Saccharomyces cerevisiae S288C: one gene and its partners. The protein of the gene in region 1 interacts with the protein of each later gene in a biochemical or structural test. Each region holds a gene or a part of one and is shown on either strand. Other genes may lie near its edges.

Region 1 (10,564 bases):
ACTAGTTCAGAGAGTCGAGGTATACGTGCCCTTGGGTTGGGACCATAAAATCTTCCGCCAGTAGGGATGACTACATTATTGATGATGTGATTACAACCGCCCCAAGTTTTAGCAGCCAACCAGAGACAAGTAGCGACAACCAATTTGGCTTGGTCCCGTAACACGATTCTCTTGGAACAATAGCGGTCATATAATCTAACTGAATGAAAAAAAATACCATTTGTCACTCGAGTGACCACAGACAGCTCGAACAAAAAAGTGATAATGTTGGACCTTGTTTCCACGGGGTTCATTTCAGGCTGCTGGTCTATTAGTTTTGGATTAGGTTTGAACTTACATGATTGAGCAATAACATTGGTGGAGATTTCTTGGTGGTATTCTTGCAGCATTTCGAAGTGAGAAAGTAATTCTGCATTAGATAGCTCAATCGGATAGTAGTCCGGTTTAGCATTGATGACGAGTCCCATACGGGGTCTTGGTTCAGCACTAGCCATTGTCTGTCGTTAAATTTAATGAATGAATGGAAAAAAGAAAAGATTTTCTTTTGTATGCAAATTATGATGTGGTAAGCGAATGAATTGGCAGCTATAGAGTCTAGCAATGCTGTATATAAGAAGAAAATTTGACGATGAAGTAAAGTAGATGTTAAAATAAAAGTAAGTTGTCCTTGATATTATCTATTGCCAATTCACTAAAAAACCAGTAAGAGGAGCATAATAGTTACCAGAGTCGATTGCTATTTTTTTATATATGAAAGAGATAGTAAGTTAAACAAGTAGCCAGAGGCTGCGTGCGATACGCAAATAGAAGGCGGATCTGCGTTCTGCGTTTGCGCAGGCCTTTTTTCCTTTCCGTTTTTCAGTAGGCCTGTCAGATCAACATTTCGCAGGTTAGATCCTCAAAAAGGGCCAACAGTTGTTTCAGTTGGTGTTCATTTCAATTTTTAGCAGTTATACTTAACAGGCTACGCCAAATGTGCTCTTCGCTAGGTATCCGCATGCGGAAACATAACGGTTTTTGGCGCGTTTCGTGACTAGAACACGCAGTTTTGAGGTTCAGCGGGACGAATTTCGTGTACTTCCGTTGAGACAAATTTCGCGATGATTTCCGTTTTCGGAAAGATGGAGCCGGGTAAAGCGCGCATGAATTGATAACTTGGCACTTTTGAACCTCAGTATCATTATTAACAATGTATAGTTGCTTTAGTTCGCATTTCAGGGTAAAAGTGCGGAGGATACGAAAAAGATGAGATAACTTACAGAAGGAAACGAATAGTGGTTTCAAAAAATGCCTTTCACTCGTAGAGAAAACAATAAAAGTTACCGCACTCCAACACAGGCGATACTGGAGGAATATTTTCAAGAGTAAATAGAAGCAAAGATGCTTAAAAATGGATACTTGAACCAATTTTTCTGTAGCGGTATATTACGCTGCTCTTTTAAAATTATTTCTGACGCGACCCGTTTTTGTGTCGCTCGGTGAAAATCACGAAAAACTTGACACTTTGAAAACTAATACAACATAAAGAGACTGAAGACGAGGAAATCAAAACAACGAAAAAAGTCAATCTTCGAAGGAGCATAGAGGCGAATGACTACTGAACAATGAATCAGGAAGACAACACGGGCGGAGGGGGCATTTTTGGTCTTTTCAAATGGACTAAGGATGCGCTGTTTGGTACGGACATATCACCTTCAATGAAATATAAAGATCAGGAAGAACGAAGAGACCGATCTAGGTATGCCCAAGACGACACAAATTTTTCTATGAAGTTTGGAAATGACTCCAACAGGAGGAGTACAAACTTATCGAGGTCAAATTCGTGGTCTGGTCTGGATTCAACGCTCCATAGGAAGTACGAGTTACTCCCAGAGTACAACGAGAACGGCTTTAACTCAATTGTTAACGGTGACCACCACAGCAAAGAGAGAATACGATCTTTACGAAGTCCTGCTCCGATAGTACCGAGAGAACCACTTCGTAACGAACCTACGGATACATTTGGTCACAGACTACACACAAAAAGGAGAACTATAAATGAGCTTTCCAATTCGCAGATACCCTTTATACCACCTCAGGAAGACGACCCTTTGCTCTCGAAATTATTTAACAAGGATGGAGTTAATGAGGTTAGAAGATCGCCCTATAAGTTATCGGTTAAAGATATACCAGGCAAATTTCCATCTCCCTTAACAAAACGTGATGAAATAGACAATTACTATGTCCGGGACGAAGATGCTTGCCACAAGAATAGAGAGTATAAAAAGGCATATTTTGATCTTTTTGCACAAATGGACTTGAACAGTAGAGACCTGGAAGATTTGTGTGAGGATGTTAGAGAGCAGCGTGAGCAATTCCACAGGAATGAGCAAACTTATAAGCAAGCATACGAGGAAATGAGAGCAGAACTGGTCAACGAGTTGAAGAAATCTAAGACACTCTTTGAAAATTATTATTCATTAGGTCAGAAGTACAAGAGTTTGAAAAAGGTCCTTGATCAAACGATCAGTCATGAGGCTGAACTGGCCACTTCTAGGGAACGGCTGTATCAGGAGGAGGATTTGAAAAACTTTGAAATACAAACATTGAAGCAAAGACTATCCGATTTAGAGCTGAAATATACCAATTTGCAAATAGAAAAGGACATGCAGCGGGACAATTATGAATCCGAAATACATGATTTATTATTACAGCTTAGCCTTCGTAATAACGAGAGAAAAGATACTTCTGCTGGTTCGAATATTTTTTCAACAGGACAATAGGACAGGACTCCATTCCACAATGGAAATAACAGTTACGACTCTAATTCGCATTCATGGGACACTGATTACTTAAAAAATATAGACGGATTCATAGAACGCTGAAGCAGAAAAGCTGACACGTTTCTCCCACTGTAACATTAAAAATACGTCATGATAGCAATGATAATGTGTTAACTACTTAGGTATGTACATTATATAGATAACGGAATAAAAAAAGATACGTTCTTATTATCATCACTCAACACGAGCTGTAATTCCCGCCCATTTTTTCTTCATTATCAGGTTGCGATTTTGAACAAAAAAAGTGAAACTTGAAGTTACGATGTGACATAAATTTGTTAAAATAAAAAAGATAAAATTCAGGATAGAAGTAGGTGCAACGCGAAATTGTCTCTGTCTACTTGTGCCTTGAACATCGAACTTACAACAGATTAACAAAGTATCGTTGCTCTTTTCATTCGTCTGTTCGTTATCATCATTGGATAGGGCTTACTTTCTCGCACGTGATTTTTCCCACAGTATAAATTTTGAGCTATAAGTGGTAATAAAAATTCAATAAAAATATAGGGAAAACAAGCCCAGTAGTTTTGATTTCTTCTATCATGTCAGCTATACAATCGCCAGCACCTAAACCTCTGCAGCCAACTTATCCAGCTGCTTCGCCAGCTTCCACGAATGCATATATGAAGCCGGGCCTAATTGGTAGTCCTGCCGTCAGTAATCATACCGAGCCTAACAATGGTAACAATGAAACTGCGGAGCCTCAGGGACCAAATCAGAGAATTGATTTGGGTGCCATGATCGAAGAATTAACCTCACTATTGGGAAAAGAAAGCTGGACGAAATATGCTCAGATCATCAGTCTTTTCATTTTAGGGAAGTTATCCAGAAAGGAACTTTCTAATGAATTAGAGCTGGTATTTTCACCAAGCGCTGCAAGCTTAGAAAAATCAAATACAAATCATCACCATAGTTTAGTACGACTTCATAACCAACTTTTATTAGGGATTTTTGCTAATTCATTACGTGAAAACCCTCTTGGGAGAAACGGTAATGAGAGTTCTTGGGGATTTGGCAATGGAAGCAACAATCCAAACAATAAACTAAAAAGAATCAATAAGCATAACTCTCAAATTGAAGTCTATAAAAAAATTGTCATGTCGTTACCTCTAAATGATCGAAATAGACTTAAAATGATCACGAAAGAGGCCGGCAAAAGAGGCTTCATTTTTTGCTCTGTATTTCAAGCCAGATTAAATAATATACCCAAAATTCCCATTGTAACCAATCCAGAAAGTTTGAAGCGTGTCAAGAGCAATAATTTAAAAACGCCGCTGGAATGGTCACAAGATATAATGAATGGATTCAACGTTCCTTTAGCGAGCGAAAGCCATTCTTTACCAGACACGGATTCGTTTTACTTAAGAATGGTTGGTATAGCAAGAGAACATGGGTTAGTCGGCACAGTGGACGCACGTTGCGTAGAGCTTATATCATTGGCCCTAGATCAATATCTAAAAAATATAATAGAGTTTACTATTGATACAGTTCGTTATAGAAGGAAGAAATATTCAGATTATTATGATTTGAATGAGAGTGGGCTTTATAAATCCGTATCAGAAATGGCTGCTGATAAACGCGATGCCAAAATTAAGCAGTTAGATGATGATAAAAATGAGGATGAATGTGCCGATGAAGCCAAAAGTATTAATAACGGCAATAACAGTAGCAAGGACGATATTGGCGACATATCAATGAGCAGCATTACAAAGGCTGGCGAAGCAGTTAATGAGGAGTTACATGAAAACAGAACGATATCATTAACGAATGAAGACATATATGATTCGTTATCTATATTTCCGAATTTGGTTGAACCTTCAGGTTCATACTATGCGTTAACTAATTTAGGGCTAGTTAACGATGATGAACTAGTAGATATGAAGAGCAATATTGACGACTTGCCGGACTTCTTAAATGAAAAGCCGACTTTCACGCCTTTGGATGAAAGAAACGTTGGTACAAGGCATGAATTAAATTGGTTAATTAAAGGAATCTTAACGGAAGATTGATGTATAAAAAGTGTGTGTATGCGGTATGTTGTAATTATATTGAAAGATTATAAACCTTATTTGTTTCATATCTAAATGGCTGTGTTAAGAAAGACGATAATGTGACCGAGCTTAAGTGAGCTTTTTCTTTCTTTTACAAAGTTGTGTTTGAACTTCTTCTGAAATCGTTAATAATTTATTGACATTTTTTGAATCGTTCAAGTTTAGCAAGAAAAAGGATTTAGTATCAGAAATTAGTTTTTTCAGAACAAGTGCAATAGGGGTCTCGCATGATTCCTTCTTAAAGATGCTTTTATCAAACTGTTCAATGGACTTCAGATTATTTAACTCGATAAAATAAAAGTCCACCGGTACGGGGTCATTGTTGCCATCGCTTTTTGAATCTCGAGGAAAAAACTGCACCTTGATTATACCCATCCCAGAATGAGGTAAATTTGGGTGTTCATCACAACTAAAATTTAAGGGCAAATCTTCGAGTCCATTTTCTATGATGACAAGTTTGGAATCCAAAGAAATTGAGTGTTTTTCAAATTTCAACTTTATGCTATCTTTATCATTGTGGGAATAATCCAAGAGCATGTCCTGAGAAAATTCGTCATCTGATAAAAATACAAACTGTAAGGTGATCACATATTGTTTTTGATATATTGTATCCTTTTCGGCCAAAAATTTTATTAGAGACTCTCTCAATGAGCCATGTGGAGTGGTGCTTAGAGATATTAAGTTGAAATTTTTTTTTTGGTTCAGGCACATATCATGGTAAACGCTATACTCTTGAGTGAAAAATTTATCTTCAGAAACTTTTAAATGCGGTATCACCCTATTAAATTTGTAAACATGTTCGCTTAGACCTTGGGTTATTACGCCATTTTCGTAATCAAATAAAAGGTTCTCAGGCAAATTTTGCTCCATCACGTAAGCGTAACAGCGCATCGTGCCTTTTTGTTCAATAATAGAGTTTTCAAGTCTCCTACTCCGCAGGAGTTCTTTTTCCACAGTGTTATAGGTATCATTATAAAATTTTTCCTGTTTAGAGGCCATTTCTTTCAAATTTTCCATTTGGTTTTGTAAATGTTCCAAATCTTGCGAGTTTTGTAAGGATTTGCTTATTAGTGGGTTGTTTGCCAATTCCAATTGTTTTATATTTTCATTTATTTCTGAGATGTTTTGTTCCGAATATTCAGCTTGTCTATCTATATCCATGATCTCCTTGTGTAACTTCTCACTTTCCGATTGTAGAGTGGCTATCTGATCAAGTAATTCACGATGTTTGTTTGTCAAATTTTCCATGGATTTTAACTTAGCTTCTTTGAATGCAATAAAATCCTTCCTCAATTGTGATTCGTGGTTTACTTGTCTTTCCAAGTTTTGCTTCTGTAAATTCGCCCAATTTATGTTGAGCTCTTGCAGCGTTTTCTTCAACTGAGATATTTCCTCTGTGATTTCGTGGTCAGGCTCGACATTTTCCATTATTTGCAGCTCATTTTCCCAAAAGATAAGCTTATTATTGTACAATTCTTGAGATTCCTGCCTTTTCAAGATCAGATTCTGGTCGAGTTCAGCCTGCAAGGTTGCCAAAGCGGATTTGTTCTTCTTAATTAAATCAGCGCGTTCACCGTCCTTGGAGTTCAGATTTTGCGTCAAATCTCTAACCTGTTTGAGATACTTTGCTTGTTTGGATTTTTTCTTATAAAGTTCAAACCTGGACTTATTGAGATCTCGAAACTTGATGGTTTTGATTTCTCTTTCGCACTCAATCAATTGAGTCCTGAGAGTATGTCTTTGGAACCTTATTTTGTCTTGGCGGTCTTTTAAGTCCTTAATTTTGCTCATGTTGATGTTTAATGATGCAGATCGAGATACAGATGGGAAGGAATCCTTTACGGGTGGAAGAGCCAATGAACTCTTCATAGACGAAGGTCTAGAGCCATTCATGGTGTTTGTCGTGTTTGTGATATCCATAAGGTTTCGAGATTTTGATGAGGACACATTATCGGGATTGTGAAAGATTCTATTCTTTGAAAGAAAAGCGTGTTTGTTTTGCTGTGACGCCATAAAGTACACTGGTCAGGAAATGGTGCTTTTGCGAGGAGAATGTGTGTGTATGTGTGTGTTGTTAGGGCATTTCATATTCTATATTCATTGTTTTTTTGTTTTTTTTGTTTTTTCAGTTCTTTGTTTACCTATTTTTTCTTTGCCGCAATTGCAAATATTATTAACTTAATTGCGATTATTGAGACTAAACAATAAAGACCTGGCAGTGGAGGCATGACAGAGGATATCGCGAAACGATTGTTTAAGAGTATATTATAAAGTTGACTTGTTTCCTTATAATTATAATTATAAATATATATATATAGATTATTCACAGGAGAAATTGGGGGCACAAATGAGGGGTAAAAATGCAGACATTAACTAAAATCGTTGTTATTAACGTTTCTTGTCATCTGGGGCAGAGCGACTCTAATCCCATCGATATCTTTTGACATCTTAATCTGGCACCCAAGCCTGCTTGTCTCTGTTAGCCCGTAAGCAAGATCGAGCATATCGTTTTCATCATCTTCAGGTTCCGGCAGGGCATCGTAGTAGTCTGGATCAACGATGACGTGACAGGTGGAGCAGGCACAAGAACCGCCGCATGCGCCCTCCATGTCCAGGTTGTGACCTTGAGCGATGTCCAGGATGGTTTCGCCCTCACAGACTTCGTACGTCTTCTGGGAGCCATCCTTCAGAATAAAAGTTATCTTCAGTTCTTCGCCTGGTTTCGGTTTTTTCAAATGGCCATGGTTTAAGAACGAAGACGTAGAGAAGGGCAGAAATCTTGTGGTTGTGGTGGTGCGTGTGAGCAGAGATGGAGAGGTGCGTAAAAGATGTGCTGCGATGTTCGATATTCTAGCTGTGTGTCCAGCCCGAGTAACAATTTTCAGCATTGGGGGCGGGTTGAGTATAGATACGAGAAGCGCCTATTTCGTATGAGGTTTTTTTTTTCTATTATTATGTATATTAGGCATATATATACATATATATATTTTGCATACATATTCATTTTTAAAAAAATGCAACTGCTACACGCTTTGAAAGATTCAATGAAAAGTTTTTCCGACGACCAGAATTGGCTAGCAAAAAAACGAAAATGTAATGGAGTCATGCAAACATGACTAATAGTAACAAAAAAAAAAGATATAGTAGAATTGAGTAAGTAAGTTCTATGTATATTGTTGTTATTTTCTCTAAAAAAAAAAAAAAACTATGTAAAATTAGGAATTAAGAATATGCTTGGAAGGAATGCCGATTTAAAATGTGTAGGATATGCGATGCAAGGGGTCGTGAGAACAAGTAGAGATGTGGTAAAATGCGTCATACCGATGACAACCACAGTCTGTAGTTCTGTTGTGCGACATTGGCAAAGGCATCGTTACTTGCAAAGGCAAACCCAGAGGCAGAGTTAGATTCCTTACTAGCAGCAGCAACTGCACTGGCGGCGTTGCCGTTAAATTCCATATCGAACATGCAATCGTCTTCAGTACTCGTTATTATGTTGCTGTCCGTCTTATCTTTAGTGTGCGTGCATTCTGACTCATCGACAATCGGGTACGATAGCGGAAAAGTTAGCAATTCTTGCTGGTAAGATTGAGAAAAGTCATCGGCATAAGTCGATCTGTCCGGGCTATGCGAGAGCATAGGGGGCTCGAAAGCAACGTTTGAAAACGAAAGAGGGAAGACCTCGTCTTCATAGCGCGAGATGGGGGAAGATTCCACAGAGGACATTGTAAATAATTGTAATTGTATATTATTGTGTGTAAGTTTGGTTGGTTTGGTGTAGCCAATTTAGTTTGGTTTTCTCAAGAATAAAACAAGTAAGAAAGAAAGAGAGTTGCTCCAGACCCTTTCCGAAATCAAGATGAGTCCTGTTCTTATATATACCTTTTTACGCAGAGCCGCTTCTTTATGCACCGTGGAGTAATTACCGAATTGCAAAACCACCCGGGTGTGGATGTGGATGCAAAATAACAGTGAAATGAGTAATAACAATGGTCATAAACATGTGGTGTGCAATGTGTCATCTTCGCGCGCGTGCTAAAAAAAACGAATAACGGTGGTGATCCCGCGGCTTTCCACACTGACGGGGTCACGTGTGTTTATTCTGTTTTCTTCTAACGGCTTCTGTAGATTTCCGGACGGTTCCACGCAGCGCCACAGCTTGGTTCCAGATCGACGGAAGAGAACGTGCAACCCTTTGGGCTGGTTATGAAACAACGCAGATGGAGAATATGGCTCACAACCCCAAGGGACTTCTTGGTTTGGTTTTGTTTACAGTTTTTTGCTTGGCAAAGGTGCCATCGTTTGTCATGATAGCATGACGGTAGCAGGCATCATTGATTTTGCAACTGTTGCGGACCAGGACAGTGGGTATGGTGTAACTTCTGTAACACACCCACAAATGTGGTTGAGTCTCTAATGGAGATGAGTGAGTGGGCGAGCCAGGATAGGGTCTTTGGCATGTGCGGTGCTTACCCGGAAGGGAGATGCGCACGTGACTGTTGAAAAAGGGAAAAGCAGAGGTAATGAATGACGAAGTCGGTTCATTGCATGTGCTGTTACACTTCTTAAATAGATATCGATTAAGAATTACTATAATGATTTGTTACTTATTTTTTATTAACTAGCTTTGGGGGAGAGCCATGGAAAATAGCACTCGGTCTTGTGGCGGAGTTGGATTTGCTTGACTGTGGCCCCCTCACGCTGTTTAATGACGACGAGAGGCAGCAATGATGTTGTTCATTTCTTCGACCTTAGCCTTGGCTCTGGTGAAAGAACCCAATCTCTTCTTGGCGACCTTTCTGGCTCTCTTTTCACCGGAGTTTCTGATCAAATCGATCAATCTTCTTTCATATGGGGACAAACCGGCGATTTCTCTAACCAAAGATCTGACGAACTTGGTTCTGTTGGAGGCAGCACCCTTCTTGTAGGAGATCTTTGGGGCTGGAGTCATTTGGGTGACTTTCTTACCCTTGTTCAAACCAATAGCGATACCTAGAGGAAAAAAATAGAATATCTTATGTTAGTAACAAGCACACTAGTACTCACGTAGTATACGAGCAAAATAAATAAACAAAGACTCCACGGAGTACTGCAACGCTGGGTGCAGGATATAAACGATGTTTGCATATCTCTGGAGCTTAATCTCATCCTGTTTGTATTTCTGTTGTTGGCTTAGTGGTTCAGTTCATTTTGCTTTTGCTCTACAGTTCATTAGTTCAGGTAAACATACCAGTCTTGACAGCCATTTTGTATTATCCTTGCTTCTCTATTCTGTTTTGACTATGGTAATACACGAACTTAAGACTTAACGCTAATTAAAACGAATATTCAAGAAATGCAATGATGTGCCTCTTCCTCTGCCTCTCTCTCTCTCTCTCTCCTAGTGCATTCATGCTAGCTTCCCTCGTCGGGCTTCCCTGAACAGCCTTGGTTGGCAACCCAATGAAAAAGTTCCGCGCACGCGGTATGTGCGTCTTTCGCAACCAGACCTCTCGGTCATGGTCGTCTCCCGCACGGTAAAGCGGAAACAAAAACCCAACACATCCGTGGATGTACGGGTGAAAATACAGTCAAAAAAAAAACAACAACAACAACATTGTCTAAACGAGTCGTGATGCATTTTTTAACACAAATTGGAGAGGCACACAATGTGCACACAGCGCAAAACTATACATCTATTTAAAAACTTTT
Region 2 (10,568 bases), on another chromosome or scaffold:
CTGATGTTATTATTGCTATTATTACTTCCTGCGGCATTGTCCAGAGGGATGTTGCTACCATTCGCTGGATTACCGTTACCACTAGGGCTATTATGGTTATTGGAGGAACCTTTCTGCCTGATTATTTTTTCCAGCAAATCTTCTCTACCTCTAATGAAGTTTTCATTTTCAAATTGCCACTTATCATCTGAACTACTTTGAATTGATCCTGACTTGACATCTTGAACTTTATGCCATCCATACATGTTCAATTGTCTTACAAAGGAAGCGAAATTGGAATGTTTAAAATATTTTGGTAAAATTTGGTGCACAAATTCCTCCCTATTCGTGACAATAAAAGATTTTCCATCCTCCGCCCACTGTATAAGTTTCGTATTAGAATCATCGTTTAACATGCTCCATAGTTTATTAACAAATGCAGGCCGTGATTTATGGGATTGATATCTTCTTGTGGTTTGGCGCGGTTGCGCGTTAGTGGTTCCACTTGACGGCTGTGCCCTGTACACAGCATGTTGTAGTAAATCGGGATTTTGCCCATAAGGAACTGGTGGATGCGCGAGTAACTTAGAAGATAATAATGTACTATTAGGATTAGTATTTTCTCTGCTATTGTGACCGTATAGATTGGTTTGGTAAATTCCCAATGGAGTACCTCTCCTTACTAAATGTGTACTGGTGGAAGGTTTCCTTGAGTCATGGAAAAAAGAGGAAGAAGGAACCGGCGATGCTGCTGACTGCGGATCCAATGAGGGGTTAATAATATCTTCAATGGCTGTGGAAGATGTAGTACTTGCATCGGTACGATCGGTCGTAAAGATATCGTTCGGTTGTAAGATTTTTTCAATGTCATCATCATTCAAGCTTGGTAAAGGCTCAATACGGGGAGCATCGCTCACGTTTGACTCATTGGTCGTCCCTGTATTTGCAGCATTATTCATGGCGCCAACAATACAGCTGTCTTTTTGTCTTTTTTGTTTCCTTTCCCTTCCAGCGCTGTTCGTAAAGCACACCTCTAACTCTTTGCCTTTATCTACCGGAACAGTACTGCTATTTGGTATTTGCTGCCAAGTGGCAAAATCTCTCCTAAAAATTTAAGTTATCTAGTTTTACACTCGCAAAGATAATGTGGTGAATGGGTTCTCCCTTCTTTAACAACCCTATTTCAAATATAACTCTTGCGTTATAACACTCACTTAATATGCATGAACTGCATATGACTAGAAGTGCGCTTGTGTAAATGCCTTCACGGGTATATGACAAACCCTTTGCCTTAGGTTACCATTACATGAAGGACCTGCTTTACTTCGAACCGAGATATTTGCTAGAGAAAGCGCGACGCGCAATTAACCGTAAACAGGAATAACATGGTGTACGACTCAGTCTCATCTCAACGTCCTCCACAAAGGCATCACGGAATATAGATATACTACCAGACCGTACACAACTTCATTGAAACAGTCCTAGTCGGTACTGTTTGTTCAAGAAAACGCATCATCCAAGAAAACGTGTTGTTGCTACTGGCCTTAGTGGAGTATTTTTTTTGGCGGCTCCAAGGTTAAGAAAGAAAGCTTTACAAACAATTCTGTCTTTGACAACGTAAGTATGAGTAACGGTGCGTTTGATGCTATTTTTGAGTACGCATGGGGCCAAATTGACAAACCCATCAGTGGAGACTTTATATATGGTAAAGATTTGCCAAAGCTAATCGAGATAATTGAGAATATCTTTCAAAAGGCACAGAAAAGTGGTTCCTATGAGCTTCGATTGCCATTGTTTTCAGAAATCAATAAAGATTTGTTTCGCACGTTTTCTAATACAAAAACCTTCTTTAAAATACACAAAGAAGAATTTGACGATATCTTCTTCAATTTGGTTAATCACCCCCTCAGGGAAATCTTAGAAAACGCGTTCATTGGTGTAGATTCTATTCCAAGTGATTTTATCGTAAGCATGAATTTGAATTCACCTTCCAAATTTCTGGTTGAGAACAAGAACAAGAATACAGAGGGGGCTGGAATTTCGACACCTAGGAAGAAGCTTACTGAATCACCTATCAAGCTGTTAAGCAGGAATAATATAGGAAAGGCCTTAGAGGTGCAGGTGGAGGAATTGAAAAGAGAACTAACTGCGAAACAAAGCCTCCTTCAGGAAAATGAACGACAAGTAAGCGAATTGAAAATAAGGCTCGAAACTTATCAAGAAAAGTATGCTTCCATACAACAGCGGTTCAGCGACTTACAGAAAGCTAGACAAGTGGAAGATAATCAAAATAGCTCCAGAACATCTGACCCAGGATCACCTCTGGTAACGGGAATCGATCAAAAAGCCATTCTGGAAGAGTTTAGAAGAAGATTACAGAGACAAACAGACACCATATCTTTCCTAAAGGATCAAATACGGCGAGAAAGGGGGCTCAATTGCAGTAACGATAAGGTATCACATTCAAAACGAAAACATGCAACCACTGATGGTGATGGGACTTTCAAGAATTTTATTTCCGCGGTTCCCTCCAACATATGGGTAAAAGCAACAATAAGAATTATAGTCTGTTTCGCTTTACTGGCAGGTGTCCTACCATACATTAGAAAATACGTATATGCTCATGACACACCATCCCAAAACTCAAGGTTACAATTATCATGGTGGGAAAATAGTGGCATATTAAGCAAGATTGTATGGTTCTTTGAAGATCAGACAGATTTAGAAACTGAATACCGTTCAAATGCCAATGTGGATGACGCATATAGTAGAGTATTCGGCATTTAAACCTTGGCCTTTGCACCGTGCCACTTCATACACAGTGAAAATAGTCACGTAAACCGTTCATGATATCCTTCAATTCAAAATAATTCAGCATTGATGTGCGTCTACGACAATCGCTAGTCCTAACTTTATTTTTTTTTTTTTTTTTTACATCTGCCGTCACCCTTGCGATGAACGAGAAAAAAACCGCCTTTCGAAGTATAAAAAGGATGAACTCGATATTTCAGCAACACATTCTTTACCTTGGTCTTTTCTCATTTTGTTACAAAAATATATACTTATAATAGCACAGGTTTTATTATTTTAGATATGCATAACACAAAATAATGTGCGTGGCAGCGTTGATAATAACGAGCTAATGTCTTATATCTCATATGAGTTCATGTGATATTTCATGTTACAGCTCAGATGCGTAAACTCTCTATCCAAGATGAGGAATAGGATAAAGAGATGTATTTATTTAGTGATGATACTGCCGATTCTGGCATTCCAAAAAGTGACTAGCAAAATTGCGATGTTGTCAACTTAAATTACACCATCTTTCGGGGCTGATATTTAATACATCTATTTTATCCATTCTTCTACGTATTACGTTTGTAGCTTGGCCAAAAAAATATCTTGCATAATTTGTACTCCAGTTCACATCAGTTGAGTAGAGAATAGCTACTGATCATATAAACACCCACACATATCTATAAATCCGTACCTTTCCTATATATATATATATATTTTTTCAAATTTTGTCTGAAATTCTTTCTGCAGGTTTGTCGCTGCCGGACGCGACTTCTGAGAATCATTGCCATCTGTATCTGTATCACTTTGACAACTTCATCCTTTCTGAAATATTGAAATAATCAAGACACTAGATCTGCCTTGTATTGTCTTCGGTTCATATAAATCCAAATAACCAACCAAGCAAATTAAGATCACAATGGCCGCTGAGTATGTATACGAAATCGTCTATTTTATTACTATTTCCTAAAGTATCCAGAGAAGTATACTAGTTTCCGCAAGTTACGTTGAGAAAAAGGAGCAATTCTGCTCTAATAGCATTTGCACTCACACTTACATTTATCTTCAACTTGTGACTATTCACAAGATGATTTTCCGTAGGGGATTACCTTCACAGGGTCAAAGACAATTTTAGTTGATGAATTTGAGGAAAAATTTGAAATATCTTGATTGTTGCCAAAAATTTCATCGCCGACCTTGATTAGAATATTTTCTCAAATTTTCATTTCCTAAGTGTCTCTGTTTCACTCCCTTCATTCGAATGAAAAGTGGTGTTTTCAATTCGATGTAACTTCGTAGAAAAAAGTTTTACTTGATGGTCATACAAACCTAATTCATTCTATTTTCGGTTATGCTAACAAAAATATTTTATTATTTGTATTATTACAGAAAAATCTTGACCCCAGAATCTCAGTTGAAGAAGTCTAAGGCTCAACAAAAGACTGCTGAACAAGTCGCTGCTGAAAGAGCTGCTCGTAAGGCTGTATGTTAAACTTTTGCTTACATTTATATTTTATGCTGCAACACATTTTCTTACTGGGATATATGTGAGTTCACGTGCGTCGCCAATTTTGATAAGTATCATTCGAACAGTTGCAATATTCTCAACACCTGTGGTATCATTAGGCTAATGGACTATTTGTTACGTTCTGTTTGTTTTCTCATTTTATGATGAAAATCCATTGTATCCCAATACATATTCGACTAGTCATTGACGATGCTGTCGTAACTTATCACCATCTTTCGACTGATTATAAGAAAAGAAATAGAAAGTAAAATAGACCAGAGAGTTAAGGTATTAAGGTTACAATTATTGCCGTGTTTCCAGTGTCAGAAAAACCATTGAGTGATAATGCCGTGTAACAATTTTTAGCATAAAATACTGTGTTTTCCATCTGGTATTTTTTTACTAACATCAATTTACTGTTTTTTACTTTTTATTTTCATTTAGGCTAACAAGGAAAAGAGAGCCATTATTTTGGAAAGAAACGCCGCTTACCAAAAGGAATACGAAACTGCTGAAAGAAACATCATTCAAGCTAAGCGTGATGCCAAGGCTGCTGGTTCCTACTACGTCGAAGCTCAACACAAGTTGGTCTTCGTTGTCAGAATCAAGGGTATTAACAAGATCCCACCTAAGCCAAGAAAGGTTCTACAATTGCTAAGATTGACAAGAATCAACTCTGGTACATTCGTCAAAGTTACCAAGGCTACTTTGGAACTATTGAAGTTGATTGAACCATACGTTGCTTACGGTTACCCATCGTACTCTACTATTAGACAATTGGTCTACAAGAGAGGTTTCGGTAAGATCAACAAGCAAAGAGTTCCATTGTCCGACAATGCTATCATCGAAGCCAACTTGGGTAAGTATGGTATCTTGTCCATTGACGATTTGATTCACGAAATCATCACTGTTGGTCCACACTTCAAGCAAGCTAACAACTTTTTGTGGCCATTCAAGTTGTCCAACCCATCTGGTGGTTGGGGTGTCCCAAGAAAGTTCAAGCACTTTATCCAAGGTGGTTCTTTCGGTAACCGTGAAGAATTCATCAACAAATTGGTTAAGTCCATGAACTAAACTGGTTGAAGTCACATTACATATAACTACTTATTTTATCTAAGTCCTATATAGTTCTGTTATTCACTAGTTTGTATATTGTACCTCTAATTTATCTTATAATTTCGTCAGTAATGACTTATAATTGGCTTTATTTTCTTCTCTTTTTTTTCACATGCGCAGAACCTATATAACGAAAAAAAAAAAAATGAAAACTGAAGATAAGCGGCCTTGACTTCTCTAAACTGCCGATATTTCAACGAAAGTTAGCCAACTTATTTATAAAAGCCTTGAATACCAACAATTGGAAAGAAGGTGTCTGTGCTTATCATATATAGCTTGCATAAAGAAAAATTATAATATCTTCGAACTTCCATAGAAAGAATATCTTTCAGTGTTAACTGGCTCATTTACTCAGAAATTAGTATTTTGAAGAACGATGAGTATTCGGAATGATAATGCTTCCGGTGGCTATATGCAGCCGGATCAATCTTCGAACGCTTCTATGCACAAAAGAGACTTAAGAGTTGAGGAGGAAATAAAGCCATTGGATGATATGGATAGCAAGGGTGCTGTAGCAGCAGATGGTGAAGTTCATCTAAGAAAGTCATTTTCGTTGTGGTCAATTCTTGGTGTTGGATTCGGTTTGACTAATTCCTGGTTCGGTATTTCTACATCGATGGTTGCAGGTATATCTTCTGGTGGACCCATGATGATTGTTTACGGTATAATTATTGTTGCCCTGATTTCTATTTGCATTGGTACCTCGTTGGGTGAATTATCTTCCGCATATCCGCACGCCGGTGGTCAGTTTTGGTGGTCTTTGAAGCTTGCCCCTCCTAAGTACAAAAGATTTGCGGCCTACATGTGCGGTTCATTTGCTTACGCAGGATCCGTGTTCACAAGTGCTTCAACTACGTTATCCGTTGCTACCGAAGTGGTTGGTATGTACGCTCTGACGCACCCTGAATTCATCCCAAAGAGATGGCATATATTCGTTTGCTTTGAATTGTTGCATTTGTTCTTGATGTTTTTCAACTGTTACGGTAAATCCTTACCTATCATTTCATCTTCCTCTCTATACATTTCCCTACTATCCTTTTTCACAATTACAATTACTGTATTGGCATGTTCTCATGGAAAGTTCAACGATGCAAAGTTTGTTTTTGCCACATTTAATAATGAAACAGGTTGGAAGAACGGCGGTATCGCCTTTATTGTCGGTTTGATTAACCCAGCTTGGTCATTTTCGTGCCTTGACTGTGCAACCCATATGGCGTTTGAAGTTGAAAAACCAGAAAGAGTTATTCCCATTGCTATCATGGGAACAGTCGCCATTGGGTTTGTCACTTCCTTTTGTTATGTTATCGCTATGTTCTTCTCTATACAAGATCTGGACGCTGTCTTGTCTTCTACAACAGGCGCCCCAATCTTGGACATTTATAATCAGGCATTGGGTAATAAATCAGGTGCGATTTTCCTGGGTTGCTTGATTCTATTTACCTCTTTTGGTTGCGTCATTGCTTGTCACACTTGGCAGGCAAGGTTATGTTGGTCATTTGCCAGGGACAATGGTCTTCCATTATCCCGTTTATGGTCGCAAGTTAACCCACACACTGGTGTACCTTTGAACGCTCATTTAATGTCATGCGCTTGGATAACCCTCATTGGCCTACTTTATTTGGCTTCCAGTACGGCTTTTCAGTCCTTAATTACAGGTTGTATTGCATTTTTATTGTTATCCTACATCATTCCGGTTATATGTTTACTTGCTAAAAAGCGTAACATAGCTCATGGTCCATTCTGGCTTGGAAAATTTGGATTTTTTTCAAACATTGTTCTTTTGGGTTGGACTGTCTTTTCTGTGGTCTTTTTTTCCTTTCCACCAGTTTTACCTGTGACAAAGGATAACATGAACTATGTTTGTGTAGTTATTGTTGGTTATACTGCGTATTCGATTCTTTACTGGAAATACAAGGGTAAGAAGGAATTCCACGCTTTAGAAGAATCTGAGAACGAACAGGCTGAATATAGTAATAACTTCGATACCATTGAAGATAGTCGAGAATTTTCCGTTGCGGCCTCTGACGTTGAACTCGAAAATGAACACGTACCGTGGGGAAAGAAGTGAATTTATAGTGTTGATCAGTCGACCGTTATTTATTTTAAGTATATTATTTGCATAGAAGTAATAAAAGTGAATTTTTTTTAATGGTTTGTTAAGCCATTTTAGACGAGGGACTAAGATATTTCAACCTAAATATCCCTCAGGCTTTGCGCTCTTGAAAGCGATGTGACTGTAATTCAAATTTCTTGAAATATTTTTGCGGGAAAAAGATGAAAAATTTTTCACCTCATCGCATAAGAAGCAAATAAAAAAAAAATATTAATAATAGATAGGCAACAATATAGCAGCTCAGAGATATAGCTTAACTTCATTTTACAGCCTTTTAACGAAAGCATAAGTATTAACAGTTTGATATATAGGGGATTAAAATGACAAAGGAAGAAATCGCAGACAAGAAGAGAAAGGTTGTAGATGAGGAGGTAATTGAAAAAAAGAAGAGTAAGAAACACAAAAAGGATAAGAAAGACAAGAAGGAAAAGAAGGATAAAAAGCATAAAAAGCATAAGAAGGAGAAGAAGGGTGAGAAGGAAGTGGAAGTACCAGAGAAAGAATCTGAAAAGAAACCTGAACCTACTTCTGCAGTGGCTAGTGAGTTTTATGTTCAGAGTGAAGCACTAACCAGTCTTCCACAATCTGATATTGACGAATATTTCAAGGAAAATGAAATTGCTGTTGAGGATTCTCTGGATCTAGCCCTACGTCCGCTATTATCATTTGATTATCTTTCTTTAGACTCTTCCATTCAAGCAGAAATTTCCAAATTTCCAAAACCAACGCCTATTCAAGCCGTAGCCTGGCCATATTTGTTATCTGGTAAAGATGTTGTTGGTGTTGCTGAGACCGGTTCTGGTAAAACATTTGCTTTCGGTGTTCCAGCTATCAGCCATTTAATGAACGATCAAAAGAAAAGGGGCATACAGGTTCTAGTCATTTCCCCAACTAGAGAACTTGCTTCCCAAATTTATGATAATCTGATTGTATTAACTGACAAGGTTGGTATGCAGTGTTGTTGTGTTTATGGTGGTGTTCCAAAGGATGAGCAAAGAATTCAGTTAAAAAAGTCACAAGTGGTGGTTGCTACACCTGGTAGATTATTAGACCTATTGCAGGAAGGATCTGTTGACTTATCTCAAGTTAATTACTTAGTATTAGACGAGGCAGACAGAATGTTGGAAAAAGGTTTTGAAGAAGACATCAAGAATATTATCAGAGAAACTGATGCGTCCAAAAGACAAACTCTAATGTTTACCGCTACCTGGCCAAAGGAAGTCCGTGAATTAGCTTCCACGTTCATGAACAACCCAATCAAAGTATCTATTGGTAACACGGACCAACTAACTGCTAACAAAAGAATTACACAGATTGTTGAAGTGGTGGACCCACGTGGAAAAGAAAGAAAGTTATTGGAACTGTTGAAAAAGTACCACTCTGGTCCAAAAAAGAATGAAAAGGTCTTGATTTTTGCTCTTTATAAGAAGGAAGCTGCTCGTGTTGAAAGGAATTTGAAATATAACGGGTATAACGTCGCAGCTATCCATGGTGATTTGTCCCAGCAACAAAGAACGCAAGCATTGAATGAGTTCAAAAGCGGGAAGTCTAACTTGTTACTGGCCACCGACGTTGCAGCAAGAGGTTTAGATATACCAAATGTTAAGACAGTTATTAATTTAACTTTCCCATTGACTGTGGAGGATTATGTCCATAGAATCGGTAGAACTGGTAGAGCTGGTCAAACAGGCACAGCACACACTCTGTTCACTGAACAAGAAAAGCATTTGGCTGGTGGACTGGTTAACGTTTTGAATGGTGCCAATCAACCTGTTCCTGAAGATTTGATAAAGTTCGGTACTCACACTAAGAAGAAGGAACATAGCGCTTATGGTTCATTCTTTAAGGACGTCGATTTGACTAAGAAACCAAAAAAAATTACTTTCGATTAGGGGTTTTTTCGTTTACTTCAATCTTGGATTTTCTTCTCTAATAATAGCCAATCGAGAGTCGGAGATTTATTAACAAAACACTGTATATTACTATTATAACTGCCCACTTTCATTTATCATTAATATTATTTAAATTGACTCTCACATAGTATACATATTTTCTAGAAAAAAAATACGATTCAGTATATCAGCAGTCATGGTCTTCATTCAATCTGCGCTCAAGAATTTTTTCTCTTGCCTGATTAAACTCTATGGGGAAATCGACACGCAAAGCAGCGTTTAAATAGTCGATGTTCTTTCTTGAAGTTTCTAAATCACGTTTTATTTTTTTTGAAGTAGCCTCACCATTTTCAAACTTCTCTTGCAGTTGAGTGAGCCTGCTCTTCATTTCATCAATATATTGTTTAAGCTCTAGGCTTTTCGAATTTATAACAGCGGAGGTTTTGGTCTGTAGAGAAAGTGCCTCTGAGAAATCAGCAGAATCAATAGATTGTTTTAGAGAATCAAAAATATATCTAGAAACGTCAAATATTGGACCAGGATCCTGGGCATCCGTGGGTAGCAAATTGCTTGACTGAGGGATATCGTTATCTAGGAACAAATCTTCGTCAACGTTAGATTCATTGTCCATTTCATTTTGCTCCACAACATCTGAAACGTTACTTCCATCACTATCGAAGCTACCACTTGAGTTGCTAGTGGTGCTGATCGAATCATGGAAAGAGCTGGACATTTCCTCTGTTATAGGAATCGCGTAGGATTGAGAATTAATACTGGGTGTTGAAGAATGAACAGCCGAAAAAGTCTCTTCATCATCATTTTCCTCCGATATTCCGGTCACCATTGTTCTTCACTAAGTGTTGGTAACCATTATTTTGCCTCTCTTATTATTTTACTATAATATAGCTGCGACTTTTCAGTGAAAAACGTTCTTTTTTAACTTTTTGAATGGCTGAATATAATCAGTAATACAAAGGAGATGAGAGGGAAATTGTCTTGGATATAAAAGAAATATTTGAATAAAGACATAATAATTATTTAGGTTATTTAGAATATGTCATCTTATGTAGTTTGGTTCAATACTAACTACTAAATAAAATGAAACTCATAGAGATAATGGTTCTATAGCATGCATATATGAAAAGGAGAAGAGGTAAAAATGAGA
Region 3 (5,776 bases), on another chromosome or scaffold:
TGCCAGTTGCACCAAGAGGATTTCTACTATCATCCCAGATACTTTCTTCAAGCACATCGTTGGTCGGTAAAAAACCAGTATCCTCCTCATTTGTGTCCAGAGGTGTTGAAAAGTTCAAGGTGTTAAACTCACCAGAGATTCCGTTGAGGCTGGGTTCACTATTGGTGGTAGAAACGACGTGATCATCATCCTTAGTCCATGCATTAGAACTGGTATTCCAAGGATCACTGCCTTCGTAATTGTCCATTACTTTTTTTTTCGCCTCAGTGGTGTTTTATAGAATCCAAATTCGATTGCTTTTACTATTATTTCTCTTACAACTTGGGTGAAAAGAAGTGGCGTTCACCCTGTTTTCATTGTACCTTCCTTCCTCACTTTTTTTTCTGGCATGTGTTTCGTAAAAGCGCCTACCTTAACCGAAAATGACGGCAATATCGAGATGATCTGGATCAACAATAACTTATTGAGAGCGTAGAGAAAAGTAAAAGTGTCTTAATAAATTATGAAAGAATATACAGTTCAATTAATTACAGTGCTAGAATTATATTTCTAATGGTCAATGGTAGGTTTAGATTCCTGAGGTTCGAGGTTCCACCAAAGACACGATAACATGAAAAATCCTAATAAGAATATTCTATCCCTTGGTTGCAAGTGTGAATGAACGTCGCAGGGAGTTTCGATAACAGGTGTGTTCTGCAGTGAAGAAATATTTTTTTCAATAGTTCTAAAAGTTTTATCACTAACCAATTTCTTCGTGATTTTGATTGGATCATTTATTAATATCCTCTTTTTTTTGGGTTCATTTATCTTCACACTACTTTTTTTATTTGAACATGAATCGTGCGTGATAAGTCTTTGTAGCAAATCTGATTTGCGACCTGATAATTTTAACCCTCTTGATTTGCACTGCTCTTTGAGAACTTTAACTGTAAATTTTTGAAAAGGTGTTATATCGTTATTATTCATTAAAAAGCTCAAGTGGCTCTTCGTTTGGGTGCTATGTACATATCTGTGTAGGCTCACCTTGTAAGCACCGGGCTGTTTCAATAGTAAGGTAAACGGTAAATATAGAGATCTCCCTGGCTCAGCCGCCCGTATGCCGGAGAATTGTTGTGAAACAATTCTACCTAATAGAGAAATTGACATGTCTTCTTTCAGAAGCTTTACTTTGCCGGTTCAGCTGCACTAGGTGTCTTTTTGAGAAACATGCGTATCACAGGCCCTTCTGAAGAAGAGCATAAAATATAGTAAATAAACAAACTCTTCGAAGGTACTACGTTACCCTCCCCTGTTGAGAACTTCATAGGAAATGTCAGCCACACCGCGCGGTGGGGGTGCAGATGATTAAATGATTATGAAGTCAATAAATTGGATGATTTGATTTATAAAAGTTATTTACATACAAAATAAAACAAATAAATATCCATATATATAAGACATTTAGTCCTTATTCCTTTCATTTTTTCTTGTTCTCACGTGGAGTATGCGATTCTGTGAAAAACCATCAAAAAAAAATAAGTCAAATGACATGGTTAAAACAAGAACATTACCGAAATGTATGATTTTAGTGAATATTTTCTAAATTTTTGAGCTTTTAAACTTAGTATTGACGTGCAGCTTCCTGGCAGGCTTTTAGTTGCTGCAAGTAATAATCACATATCTGGAAGTTGCCGTTGTTTTCATCCAAACAACGTGTAAAGTTTCTCGCGTCTATTTCACAAGTTCTTCCCAACTGCTGGTCCGTTTGGGTTTGGCCGGAGGTGTTGGCCATATTTTGCTGTTGTTGCTCAACAGGAGCGGAATCAGACCCGGATCCGGAAAACATACCGGTAATACCTGCACCTAGGGTGTGTCCAATGGTGCTACCAACGGCAACACCTGCAGCAGTGGAGGCCATCTGCGCAAACATACCTGGCTGTCTCGTTTGGGCACCTGCAGCAGGAGGGTGTGAATAGGCATTTGGTTGTTGTTGTTGTTGTGGATGAACTGGAGCCGCCATGGTAGAAGCGGACCTTGTCTGAGTAGGTCTCGATCTCGATATAGGTCTTGATGATCCTCTTGAACGTGCCATATTTTAGAATTTTGTTGCTGTTGTTGCTTTTCTTGTTCTGTTCTTTGTTCGAAATATTAATCCTTTTTCTTAAAGGTTATAAACTGTACGAGTGATAGGCTTATATAGGTCGCGGAGATTGCGGTGGAGTGAAAAAGCGCTTTTCTTTTATACCTTTGTTCAAGGTGGCGTTTGCCGTATAAAAGCACACATGACATAACCGAACCTCGGAAAATGAAGTTGCACTGTTATTGCCTTCCAGATGTGTAGAATCATCACCATCTTCTGTGATAAATGAAGAGGGAATCGTACGAGGACGCCAGCATATTTTTACATCAAAATTTATGTTATTGTTGAAGGAACATTGAAAAGATAGGGCGGGCAAAATCTGCGATCAAGCCTATCCTCTTTCATCTCAGCTGTTCTAGATGCGTTACCCGGTGGTAACTTCACTGCATATTATTACTTTATATACCTTATTCTATATGTTGCCCGGGTAGGGCATTATGTAGCATCACCCGGAAGAACTTTTGGACTTTTCTCTGTCAAAAGATATTACCTAAAAGGGTCAAAACAAAACAAACCCAATAAAGAAAATCCAAAATATAGAACGAATAAATATCTCGAGGACCTGGGATGATCTTTGAATGTACATCCTTTGAAACAAGGCATATCTTGAACAGTTACTCTTGTGCTACTCAACTTTCGTACAATACATATAGAATCACTGAGAAAGTAAATCCAATTCAAGCGGCAGTTTCAAAGAACAATAAGCCTTTTGTGTCAAATTCTGATTCTGCTTTTTTTCCTATTTTTTCATCCTTCAATTTTGTGGCATATACTACATTAACTTTCAAGAAAACTTAAAAAAGAAAAGACAAAAAAGCTAAACTGCATAGTCAAGTTTGTATAATTGAGCTGAGTATTATTTTTTGTACACAAAAACATTGGCTTTCTTATATCTTCTCTATATATACTCTCTTTCATTCATCGATAAACGTTACATTTGTTATTCATAGAGAATAAAAATCACAGCCGTGGAGAAGAAAGAACAGAGTAAGATCAAGTCGAATAAAGATGTCGTTGGGTCCTCTTAAAGCTATCAATGATAAGCAATTGAATACCCGTTCCAAGTTAGTTCACACCCCAATAAAGGGAAATACCGCAGACCTCGTAGGAAAAGAAAATCACTTTAAACAAACAAAGAGACTAGATCCGAATAATGATCATCACCACCAGCCAGCTCAAAAAAAGAAAAGGGAAAAGTTATCAGCTTTGTGTAAAACACCACCTTCATTAATCAAAACAAGAGGAAAAGACTATCACCGAGGTCATTTTTTAGGTGAAGGTGGATTTGCTCGCTGTTTCCAAATTAAGGACGATTCAGGCGAAATTTTTGCTGCCAAAACAGTTGCTAAAGCCTCAATTAAATCAGAGAAGACAAGAAAAAAGTTGTTGTCGGAGATTCAAATTCATAAAAGTATGTCCCATCCAAATATCGTTCAGTTTATTGATTGTTTTGAGGATGATAGCAATGTCTATATCTTATTGGAGATATGCCCCAACGGTTCATTAATGGAATTACTAAAAAGAAGAAAAGTTTTAACAGAACCAGAAGTTAGATTTTTCACCACTCAAATATGTGGTGCAATTAAGTATATGCATTCAAGAAGAGTTATACATAGAGATTTAAAACTTGGTAACATCTTCTTCGATTCAAACTATAACTTAAAGATTGGTGACTTCGGTCTGGCAGCTGTGTTGGCGAATGAAAGTGAACGTAAATACACCATATGCGGAACACCTAATTACATCGCACCTGAAGTGTTGATGGGTAAGCATTCTGGACATTCATTTGAAGTAGATATTTGGTCATTAGGTGTTATGCTTTATGCTTTGTTGATTGGTAAGCCACCCTTCCAAGCAAGAGATGTAAACACTATTTATGAAAGAATCAAATGTCGTGATTTTTCGTTTCCAAGAGATAAACCAATCTCAGATGAAGGTAAGATTTTAATAAGAGACATTCTATCCTTAGATCCAATAGAAAGGCCCTCTTTGACTGAAATTATGGATTATGTATGGTTTAGGGGAACTTTCCCACCATCTATTCCTTCGACGGTCATGTCAGAAGCACCAAATTTTGAGGATATTCCTGAAGAGCAGTCACTGGTTAACTTCAAAGATTGCATGGAAAAATCTCTACTATTAGAAAGCATGAGCAGCGATAAAATTCAGCGTCAAAAGAGGGATTATATTTCTTCAATTAAATCTAGTATCGATAAACTAGAAGAGTACCACCAAAACAGACCATTTTTACCACATTCTTTATCCCCTGGCGGGACGAAACAGAAATATAAGGAGGTTGTTGATATAGAGGCACAAAGAAGATTAAACGATTTGGCTCGTGAAGCAAGGATACGTAGAGCACAACAGGCCGTTTTGAGAAAAGAATTAATAGCTACATCGACCAATGTCATTAAATCAGAAATCTCCTTGAGAATATTAGCCAGTGAGTGTCATCTTACTTTGAATGGCATTGTAGAAGCAGAAGCTCAGTATAAAATGGGAGGTCTTCCGAAATCAAGATTGCCTAAAATTAAACACCCAATGATAGTTACCAAGTGGGTCGACTACTCCAACAAACACGGATTCTCCTATCAGTTATCAACAGAGGATATTGGTGTCTTATTTAATAATGGCACCACAGTTCTCCGATTGGCAGATGCAGAAGAGTTTTGGTATATTAGTTATGACGATCGGGAAGGTTGGGTAGCAAGTCATTATTTATTGAGCGAAAAACCACGAGAGCTAAGTAGACATTTAGAAGTAGTTGATTTTTTTGCCAAGTACATGAAGGCAAATTTGAGCCGAGTATCTACGTTTGGCAGAGAAGAATATCATAAAGATGATGTATTTTTGAGAAGATACACAAGGTATAAACCATTTGTTATGTTTGAACTAAGTGATGGTACTTTCCAGTTCAATTTCAAAGATCATCATAAAATGGCAATATCCGACGGAGGTAAATTGGTGACCTACATTTCTCCCTCCCATGAAAGCACCACATATCCCTTAGTTGAAGTACTAAAATATGGCGAGATCCCAGGATATCCAGAAAGTAACTTTAGAGAGAAACTAACTTTGATAAAGGAAGGTTTGAAGCAGAAGTCCACAATTGTTACCGTAGATTAAACCAATATTAAAGTAGAAAGAAATACGAATACGAAATTACCAGTCCATTGATTGGGCCCCATTAATAACTAATACTAAATAAAATAAATGGTCTTGCCCTTAACGAAGATAATATATAATATTTACCCCTAGCATTAATACCCTTTTTCTAAAGGTACGAAATGAACAAACATCTTTCATGTTAGTTCTTCCTTTTCAATAGTTCTCATATAGCGTTTTTTTTCGCCTGAGCGGTTCTAGAGCTATATCTATTCAAAATTGCCATGCTTTTGTATTCATATTGTATGTATGGGATGATAACCTGTCGCTTCCTGAGATTTTCTCAAAAATATTGTTTTGAACCTAGATTTCTTTTTAATTATTCTTACAGGTGCCCATTGGAAGAGTGACAACATTAATTTTGAAAGCTATTCACTTGGTACATCCGCGGTTTACCAATTTTTAAGTTTTATCAAAAGCTGGCTTACTTGACATGTATCTACAAACTTAAGAATACTATTATGGGCAGTTATTTGCTAATTCTTTGTTACC

Evidence for each region.
Region 2: the proteins of BBP1 (region 1) and MPS2 form a complex in vitro, tested with the Saccharomyces cerevisiae proteins (3 studies listed by BioGRID).
Region 3: the proteins of BBP1 (region 1) and CDC5 form a complex in vitro, tested with the Saccharomyces cerevisiae proteins (2 studies listed by BioGRID).

Annotation. Positions count from the first base shown.
Region 1 is NC_001148.4:66,121-76,684, forward strand, and holds BBP1 (Bbp1p), read left to right. Parts: upstream 1-1,604; coding exon 1,605-2,762; downstream 2,763-10,564. Other genes in the region: cyclin CLN2, read right to left, coding at 1-494; HFI1 (Hfi1p), read left to right, coding at 3,365-4,831; VIK1 (Vik1p), read right to left, coding at 4,943-6,886; YAH1 (adrenodoxin), read right to left, coding at 7,243-7,761; ATG41 (Atg41p), read right to left, coding at 8,189-8,599; 60S ribosomal protein eL36 RPL36B, read right to left, coding at 9,579-9,865, 10,104-10,119; GTPase-activating protein GYP5, read right to left, coding at 10,549-10,564. UniProt on the Saccharomyces cerevisiae protein: Component of the spindle pole body (SPB) required for insertion of the nascent SPB into the nuclear envelope and for the proper execution of spindle pole body (SPB) duplication. Connects the central plaque of the SPB with the half-bridge.
Region 2 is NC_001139.9:359,123-369,690, reverse strand, and holds MPS2 (Mps2p), read left to right. Parts: upstream 1-1,602; coding exon 1,603-2,766; downstream 2,767-10,568. Other genes in the region: stress-responsive transcription factor HSF1, read right to left, coding at 1-938; 60S ribosomal protein uL30 RPL7A, read left to right, coding at 3,695-3,705, 4,165-4,258, 4,727-5,356; HNM1 (Hnm1p), read left to right, coding at 5,775-7,466; RNA-dependent ATPase DBP3, read left to right, coding at 7,832-9,403; KXD1 (Kxd1p), read right to left, coding at 9,591-10,247. UniProt on the Saccharomyces cerevisiae protein: Component of the spindle pole body (SPB) required for insertion of the nascent SPB into the nuclear envelope and for the proper execution of spindle pole body (SPB) duplication.
Region 3 is NC_001145.3:268,488-274,263, reverse strand, and holds CDC5 (polo kinase CDC5), read left to right. Parts: upstream 1-3,127; coding exon 3,128-5,245; downstream 5,246-5,776. Other genes in the region: MVP1 (Mvp1p), read right to left, coding at 1-247; AIM34 (Aim34p), read right to left, coding at 550-1,146; MIX17 (Mix17p), read right to left, coding at 1,601-2,071; YMR001C-A (uncharacterized protein), read left to right, coding at 2,687-2,917. UniProt on the Saccharomyces cerevisiae protein: Protein kinase required for the cell cycle where it is involved in mitotic exit. A component of the fear (CDC14 early anaphase release) network which promotes CDC14 release from the nucleolus during early anaphase. Phosphorylates SCC1/MCD1 and NET1.